2 linked regions of the Macaca fascicularis genome follow. The protein of the gene in region 1 interacts with the protein of each later gene in a biochemical or structural test. Links are inferred from orthologs where the notes say so. Each region holds a gene or a part of one and is shown in the gene's direction. Other genes may lie near its edges. The genes, in order: ATF4 and CREBZF.

Region 1 (4,206 bases):
TGGCCTGTGGTTATTTAGAGCAGTGCTTCCCTGGTGGTTTGATACCACAGCGATCATAGAAATACTTGTGTGGCCCGGTGAAATGGAGGCGGAAACAGTTTCTACCTTCACAGGGCCTGACTGGAGGGGGCTGAGGACGATGCGGAGGTTTCCTGTATTAAAACAGACTACCCCCCCTTCCCAACGCACAACCCCGAGCACGTGGCCGTGGGTTCCCAAGCGCCTCTCCTCCCAGGGCCATGGGCATGACCACTGAAAAGCGGGTTAGGCCGGGGAGTTCAGAACCCGGAGTGAATCGAAACTACCCCAGGTAGATGGCAGCGAAGAAAATTCTGTTCTTAGGGGAACGCAATCTTCGGACACCAGAAGTTCCCCTATGATGCTATTCTGTGGCAGCCTCGCACTTGAGCCGGATGAGAATTGTAAAAACCCAGGTTGGGCGACAGGACGGCGCGTCTTCCCGGCTCCTTTCCAGAGTTTAGACGGAGCCATGCAGACTCAGCTGGCCTTTGAGTGTAGGTGGGCAGGCCCGAGGCGCCCTCTCGAGACCCCTTCAACCTCCCGGGGGCAGCAACACCGTGTCGGCTATGAATGGCGTCTCTGGAAAACTCAGGCTTGGAACAGGTAACCCCGCGGTTTCCGCAGGCCAGAAATTAGCCCCCGCAACCGAAGGACGCGCAGGCTGGGAGTGGCGGCGGGGCCGCCAGTGGCGGACCTCCACTGAGGGCGGCGGGACCCGACCGCAGGGGCTGGGCCCTGAGGCCACTATGGGGTGCGCTAGGCTAAGGTCTCCTGGGGGCAGAAGCCAGTGCGATTGTAGCTGGCCAGCAGGCTGGCCGGCCTGAGGCCTGGCAGAGACCCGAGACCCCGACCCTTCCCACGCGGACTCCGTGATCCCTCTCCCAGCAGCCGCCCACCTGGGGCCCTGAGCCAATAAGAGCTCGAGGTATATATGACTCACCGTGCCTGGGCCAATCAACTTGACGCGCGCTTTTCGCCAGCACCTCGCGCGATAACTTGGCGTCCTCGGCCTTCACAATAAAAACTCTCCGCCGGAAAACGACCTCTCCCCGCCCACCGCGCCGACACCGGAAGCGAGGCGTGTCTGCGAGATCACTCCGCGCTCCGGCGGCGAAGGAAAGAACGGACTCTGATCATAGAAGTAAAGTAGTGCACCTCTCTCGTTTCGTGAGGTCATAAGAACAAACACCTTTTCTCGTCACAGCTACGCGCTGGGCATAAACGGTTGGGGCGTCAAAGGGAGGGAAACGAGCGGGCGGGAGGAGATGGTCACGTGGCCGTGGCGGAAGGATGCGTCGGTGCTGCGTCCCCTTAGAGACGAAGTCTATAAAGGGCCGGCGGGCGGCTGTTGCGGCCATTTCTACTTCGTCCGCCCACAAATGTAGTTTGGTTCGCACGTGTGCGCCTTCCCTCCTCCCCGCCCGCAGGGTCCACGGCCACCATGGCGTATTAGGGGCAGCAGTGCCTGCGGCAGCATTGGCCTTTGCAGCGGCGGCAGCAGCACCAGGCTCTGCAGCGGCACCCCCCCCCAGCGGCTTAAGCCATGGCGTGAGTACCAGGGCGGGTCGTCCAGCTGTGCTCCCTGGGCCGGCGCAGGTTTTGGGTTGGTGGGGTGCGGCCTGGGGCCCAGGGCGGTGCCGCCAAGGAGGAAGCGATTTTACGAGCGCCCGGGACGCGTGGTCTTTGCTTGGGTGTCCCCGAGACGCTCGCGTGCCCGGGATCGGGAAGGCGCATTCTGGTGCCAGGACTGCTTCCACAGGGGCCCTGCCGCCCTCGGACCCCGAATCCCCCAAGGGTCCCAGGGGTCTCGGCTTTCCCCCCCCGCGAAACGTGGCAAGAACCAAGATGGCGGCGGCAGGGCGGCGCCGCGGGCGTGAGTCAAGGGCGGGCGGTGGGCGGGGCGCGGCCGCCCTGGCCGTATTTGGACGCGGGGACGGAGCGCCTTCCTCTTGGTGGCCGGTGGAAGAATCGCCTGGTCTCCGTGAGCGTCCATTTTGTGGAACCTGAGCCGCAGCAGGGAGGGGCGGATGCAACTGCCCCGTTGCCGACTCTGTAGATGGCTGGACTAGAGAAGTCCCGCCTCGTAAGTGGAAAGATGAAATTCTCAGACCAGCTAACCTCTAATGGGAGTTGGCTTCTGATTCCCATTCAGGCTTCTCACGGCATTCAGCAGCAGCGTTGCTGTAACCGACAAAGACATCTTCGAATTAAGCACATTCCTCGATTCCAGCAAAGCACCGCAACATGACCGAAATGAGCTTCCTGAGCAGCGAGGTGTTGGTGGGGGACTTGATGTCCCCCTTCGACCAGTCGGGTTTGGGGGCTGAAGAAAGCCTAGGTCTCTTAGATGACTACCTGGAGGTGGCCAAGCACTTCAAACCTCATGGGTTCTCCAGCGACAAGGCTAAGGCGGGCTCCTCCGAATGGCTGGCTGTGGATGGGTTGGTCAGTCCCTCCAACAACGGCAAGGGTGAGTGGGCCACCACCACATCGTCTGGGTGGGATCTAGGGTTAGGGGCCTGTTATCTTTGTATCTGACTCACTTGGCCCTGTCATTCAAATCTTTTGCAGAGGATGCCTTCTCCGGGACAGATTGGATGTTGGAGAAAATGGATTTGAAGGAGTTCGACTTTGATGCCCTGTTGGGTATAGATGACCTGGAAACCATGCCAGATGACCTTTTGACCACGTTGGATGACACGTGTGATCTCTTTGCCCCCCTAGTCCAGGAGACTAACAAGGAGCCCCCCCAGACGGTGAACCCAATTGGCCATCTCCCAGAAAGTTTAACAAAACCCGACCAGGTTGCCCCCTTCACCTTCTTGCAACCTCTTCCCCTTTCCCCAGGGGTCCTGTCCTCCACTCCAGATCATTCCTTTAGTTTAGAGCTGGGCAGTGAAGTGGATATCACTGAAGGAGATAGGAAGCCAGATGCCACTGCTTATGTTGCCATGATCCCTCCGTGCATAAAGGAGGAAGACACCCCCTCAGATAATGATAGTGGCATCTGTATGAGCCCGGAGTCCTATCTGGGCTCTCCTCAGCATAGCCCGTCTACCAGGGGCTCTCCAAATAGGAGCCTCCCATCTCCAGGTGTTCTCTGTGGCTCTGCCCGCCCCAAACCTTACGACCCTCCTGGAGAGAAGATGGTAGAAGCAAAAGTAAAGGGTGAGAAACTGGATAAGAAGCTGAAAAAAATGGAGCAAAACAAGACAGCAGCCACTAGGTACCGCCAGAAGAAGAGGGCGGAGCAGGAGGCCCTCACTGGCGAGTGCAAAGAGCTGGAAAAGAAGAATGAGGCTTTAAAAGAGAGGGCGGATTCCCTGGCCAAGGAGATCCAGTACCTGAAAGATTTGATAGAAGAGGTCCGCAAGGCAAGGGGGAAGAAAAGGGTCCCCTAGTTGAGGGTAGTCAGGAGCGTCAGTGTGCTTGTACATAGAGTCTCTGCTGTTGCTGTGTGTTGGAATAAATTATTTTGTAGGGAAAGTACTTGTGTGGATTCTTTTTCTGGCAAATTAGCCGAGTGAGGCGCCACCCACCCATCCCAAACTGGTCATAACATTCCTTGTGAGATCTGGGGAGGAGGGCAGTCCAGGACTGAAGATGGGTACCCAGAGTGGGAACTGCTCGCCCTGCTAGGTGTAAGCCACGATGCCTGATGACTCATGGGGCCATACAGCCAGATAGTTGGCCAACTGTAGCAAGTTGGGTCCTTTACCCAGAGGTGAGTTCGCTGGTTGTGTAGGGAGGAGGCTGGAGCTCTCTGGGAGGTTGGGAGGGAGGGACAGCCTGGGCCTCCACCTATTTATTCAAGAGGGCTTCATGCCAACAGCTGTCGCCTGAAACCCTGGATAAGCTTGCACAGTCCTTGAGATAAGCACACAAGATTAGTTTTCACTTGTTACCCTGAGTTCTGTAGAAGCGTGTTCCTGAAGAAAGAAATGGCTCCTTTTCGGAATTGATGCTGAAGCAGGACAGGAGCTGAGGGTTGGCCTCCATTTCTCCTTATGGGGTGGAAGGATGACATCCTGCACAGGTTCTGGCTAGAGCTGGGCACAAAGGCGACAGTTCCTGTGAAGGCTGTTGTGCCTGTTGCTACCTAAATAGAAGGCCTGGCATCATGCTAGGATGGATCAGCGCCTAGAAACCACGCCTCCTCACCGCAGCTTCTTCCTGGCGGGGAGA
Region 2 (4,502 bases), on another chromosome or scaffold:
AAACTGTAGACTTTGTTCACTCACTCAATAAATATTTGTTGAAGCCTGTGCAGTGTACCAAGCACGTTTCTCAATATTTAGGACCTGTCAGTGTTCAACTTTCCTGGAACTTGCTTTCTGTCTCTCTTAAGAAATACTGTATAGAAGCAGCTATCCTAGAGGATATCTGCTACATTATTCAGTATCCTATAGAGAAGTTTCTTTAAGATTTAAGAACTAGAAAAGTGGTTAAAGAATTCATATATACTTTACTTATGAACAAAGGAAAATTCATTTCTCTTTTTTTGTTTGGGCTGTCAGGAAACAATTTTAGCCCAACTCAAACAACTGAGTAAGATATTGCATCCATCCAATTCCAATATTAACCGTTTCCCCTTTCAGAACTCCTTCTCTTCCTAGTTCATCTTTTTTTTGGCCTTGCTTTTTAAAAATTCAAAATGTTTTGTTTTACTATATTCTAATGTACTTGTAAACTGCTTCAAATCTCAGATCTCTTGTGGGATATGAACCTAAATATCTGTATTTGTAAACTGCTTCAAATCTCAAATCCCTTGTGGGATGTGAACCTAAATAACAAACAGAAAAGGTCTCTAAAATAAAAGATGTGCATTGAAAATAGAGCATTTCAATGGGAAAACGCATGCCATAGTAAACTATGTGTGTATGCAGGAAGACGAAGGAAGACAAAGGGTTTTAAAGGAAAAAAAATGAGGATGGTTACACATTGTTTTGAAATAATTATCTTGACTACAAAGGTCAATAACAAGGGTGACGTCAGTTCAAGGTTGGACAGGCAGCTTCTGGGCAGACATCCTTGCAGAGGTTTTGTATAAGGTCGTGATGGTTTTTGTGCAACGTTGTAGTTTTGCAGTCTTTGTTTTCAGGCATACAAGTATGAGTACCCTCTCTTCATAGCCTTTTCTGGCTCTATTTGTCAGAGTTTTTGTTCGTTACCCAAATGCAGTAAGTCAGTACTGATTGGATCTTGGCTCAAGTGAAAATACCTACTTGTAAAAAATGGCATGAACAACCGAAGACAATTTTTGTAAGGAACGTTGTATTCTACATTCCTTTTTTTTTTTTTTAATTGACAAATAATAACTGTCACATTCATGGGGTACATAGTGATGTTTCCATACATATGGAATGTAGTGATCAGGTTAGGGTAATTAGCATATCCATTATCCAACTGAGGACATCTAGTATGGCCCAGGTATTAAATAGTATTAGTAAACGATTGTTAATTTTCTGAAGACTTGGTAATAGTATTATGATTATGAAAAAAAGTCCTTAGTTTTAGAGATGCACACTGAAGTACGCAGGGGTGTGGTGTCTTACCTGCAACTTTAGGATGATTCAGCAAAAAAAATTTACAAGCATTTATGTAAAGATAAAGCAAATATGGCAAAACAATGTGTTGAACTGTTGAGTCTGGGTATTGGGCGGTATTATTGAATTAGGGTGGATAAATCTAGAGTCTGTTGTTATTTTTGCTGCAGTTATTATGATGTCACTAGAAAGCTGGAATTATTCCCACTCCAAAGCACCCTAAAACCTCGCGATATTACGGCCTGGTGGCGCGCGAAACGCGGTGGGCGGGGCTGGGGCGAAAACCACTGACTTCCGGCCAGGCCGTTGTCTGGGTGGTGCGGTCGAGTCATCAGTGGGCCTCACCGCTTCTTTCTCCCGACCCTTCCTGCGCCCTTGCGCGGGGGGTCGACTAGCCAACTGAGGCGGGAGGCTACTCGGACCTTTCCCTGCATTTCGTTTCGGCCAGTGCCGGGGGCTACCCGCCCTGGGGCGCGGGATCCTTGGGGCCCGTGAGGCCCACTCTTAGCGGCCAGGGCCTACCGCGGCCCGCCGCCGGCCCTCATGAGGCATAGCCTGACCAAGCTGCTGGCAGCCTCGGGCAGCAACTCCCCAACCCGCAGTGAGAGCCCAGCCCCGGCTGCAACCTGCTCGCTGCCCTCGGACCTCACCCGGGCGGCAGCGGGGGAGGAGGAGACAGCAGCGGCCGGATCTCCCGGCCGCAAGCAGCAGCTTGGCGACGAAGGGGAGTTGGAAGCCGGGAGGGGGAGCCGCGGCAGGGTGGCCGTGCGCGCGCCCTCGCCCGAGGAGATGGAGGAGGAAGCGATCGCCAGCCTCCCCGGAGAAGAAACGGAGGATATGGACTTTCTGTCTGGGCTGGAACTGGCGGATCTCCTGGACCCCCGGCAACCGGACTGGCACTTGGACCCCGGGCTTAGCTCGCCGGGGCCTCTCTCCTCGTCTGGCGGAGGCTCGGATAGCGGCGGCCTGTGGAGAGGGGAGGATGACGATGAGGCCGCGGCTGCTGAAATGCAGCGCTTCTCTGACCTGCTGCAGAGGCTGTTAAACGGTATCGGAGGCTGCAGCAGCAGCAGTGACAGTGGCAGCGCCGAAAAGAGGCGGAAAAAGTCTCCAGGAGGCGGCGGTGGCGGCAGCGGTAACGACAACAACCAGGCGGCGACAAAGAGTCCCCGGAAGGCGGCGGCGGCCGCTGCCCGCCTTAATCGGCTGAAGAAGAAGGAGTACGTGATGGGGCTGGAGAGTCGAGTACGGGGTCTGGCAGCCGAGAACCAGGAACTGCGGGCCGAGAATCGGGAGCTGGGCAAACGCGTACAGGCACTGCAGGAGGAGAGTCGCTACCTACGGGCAGTCTTAGCCAACGAGACTGGACTGGCTCGCTTGCTGAGCCGGCTGAGCGGCGTGGGACTGCGGCTGACCACCTCGCTCTTCAGAGACTCGCCCGCCGGTGACCACGACTACGCTCTGCCGGTGGGAAAGCAGAAGCAGGACCTGCTGGAAGAGGACGACTCGGCGGGAGGAGTCTGTCTCCATGTGGACAAGGATAAGGTGTCGGTGGAGTTCTGCTCGGCGTGCGCCCGGAAGGCGTCGTCTTCTCTTAAAATGTAGGGTCAAGTAATCTGCTCTTTATCCGCGTTTACCCCTTTCAACTCCCTTACACCATGTCAAACTTACCTTAGTGGGACATCTTCACCGGACACATTTCAGAGGAGAGAAAAAAAGTAATATTGAATCTTAAAGTGTTTAGCTAAAAGCATGAATGTGACACAGTAACCAACTCCTAATGATAACATGTGACTATTAAATCTCTCTGACAGTTTCTTTTTTAGGTGATTTCCTTCCTGCCAGGCTCCGTTGTAGGGGTTACAGAACAGTCGTTCCCGCCTCACAACCTGGTAAGGATCCATCTCTTCCCGTAACGCTCATGCTCTGCTGCTTAGTCTACTTTAATGGGCAACATCTCAGTCTGTGTGTGTGTGGTTTTTTTTTTTCCTGTTTTGGAAGGTGGGAGGGAAATCTAATTTGGGCCCTGTCCACCCTGGAAACAGACTTGTGCTGGTCAAGAATGTATTTAAGATGCCTCTTCTGGTTGAAATAGCTATTAATGTGTCCCCTTATTCAGACTTGCGTGTACCTAGCTCTTCTGTCCCCAGTGTGGACATGGCCTTGGATGACATCGGTTCCAACTGTACACTGAAACCTGCTTATAGAGATACAGTTTGGAGACAGTGAAACAGGTGAAGTTGAATGGAAGTTCCGAGTTGTACAAGGTGCAAATTGGAATTCCGATTTTAGGGCAACTTTTCAGAGGTTGACAATAAGTATTTGGGGCATGCACAAATGTGATAGTTATTTTGCTGGAGGTGACAGGTACCTCTGAAATATCAATGCCTTTTAGTTTTCAGTAGGAGATATAGAAACAGTCTATACGGAGTAACAGATTTTAGTATCTCACCATTAGAGAAGTTGGAAATTAACATGCATATCAGACTTCTGTGTTTTAGTTACTTCGAGAATAAGAATGGTTAATATTTCTTTGAGGACCAGCAGTGATTACCCTATCACTGAGTATGAATAAATTGTTGAACATCTTTATTTTTGTTGTATTAAAATTTTAGGTTAAATTTATATATGTATGATTAGATATTGAAGGTTGTGAAATGTGAATGAAAACGTGTAAAGTGAGGCTTCACAAAGAATCTTATTCTCTGTATTTCAAAAGTATTTGTCTTATTTTAGAATAATTTTTTAAATTGAGTGCTTCTGGCCACTTAAATAACACGATTGGCACTATTTTCCCAAAGGTGGGATTTATTCTTCCCTTGAATCTATTAACCATTTGTATAAATTGAGTTATGGTGTCCTTCAGTGTAAGAGGCATTAAGAAATTCTTTGTGAAACATCACTGCTTGATAAAGTATATACGTATTTAGCATCCTTGTTTTTCTTTGTGCTAAAGTGGATACAGCTGTTGGGGCAGAAGAGACGGGACCAGCTGCTGGCCACATTTCCTGCTTTATTTTAAAAGGTAGTATAAGAAATGAGGAAAAAGAGGTAATATCAGGGCTTCTGCTGTTTTTTATTTTTAAAATGTTCATAATTAAAAAGTATTTTCCAGCAGTCCAAAGATGTAAGTTATCTTACACATAAAATGTTTTATTTTGTTGTTATTTGGT

Evidence for each region.
Region 2: the proteins of ATF4 (region 1) and CREBZF form a complex in vitro, tested with the Homo sapiens proteins (2 studies listed by IntAct, with this or other methods). The link is inferred for Macaca fascicularis from reciprocal best matches to the Homo sapiens genes ATF4 and CREBZF.

The regions. Positions count from the first base shown.
Region 1 is NC_088384.1:12,124,445-12,128,650, reverse strand, and holds ATF4 (cyclic AMP-dependent transcription factor ATF-4), read left to right. Parts: upstream 1-1,376; 5' UTR 1,377-1,569; intron 1,570-2,173; 5' UTR 2,174-2,265; coding exon 2,266-2,491; intron 2,492-2,592; coding exon 2,593-3,422; 3' UTR 3,423-3,507; downstream 3,508-4,206. UniProt on the Homo sapiens protein: Transcription factor that binds the cAMP response element (CRE) (consensus: 5'-GTGACGT[AC][AG]-3') and displays two biological functions, as regulator of metabolic and redox processes under normal cellular conditions, and as master transcription factor during integrated stress response (ISR).
Region 2 is NC_088388.1:84,705,550-84,710,051, reverse strand, and holds the start of CREBZF (CREB/ATF bZIP transcription factor), read left to right. Parts: upstream 1-1,618; 5' UTR 1,619-1,872; coding exon 1,873-2,930; coding exon of another isoform or gene 2,931-2,934; exon of another isoform or gene 2,935-3,047; intron 3,048-3,143; coding exon 3,144-3,159; 3' UTR 3,160-3,221; intron 3,222-3,448; 3' UTR 3,449-3,563; intron 3,564-4,285; 3' UTR 4,286-4,354; exon of another isoform or gene 4,355-4,502.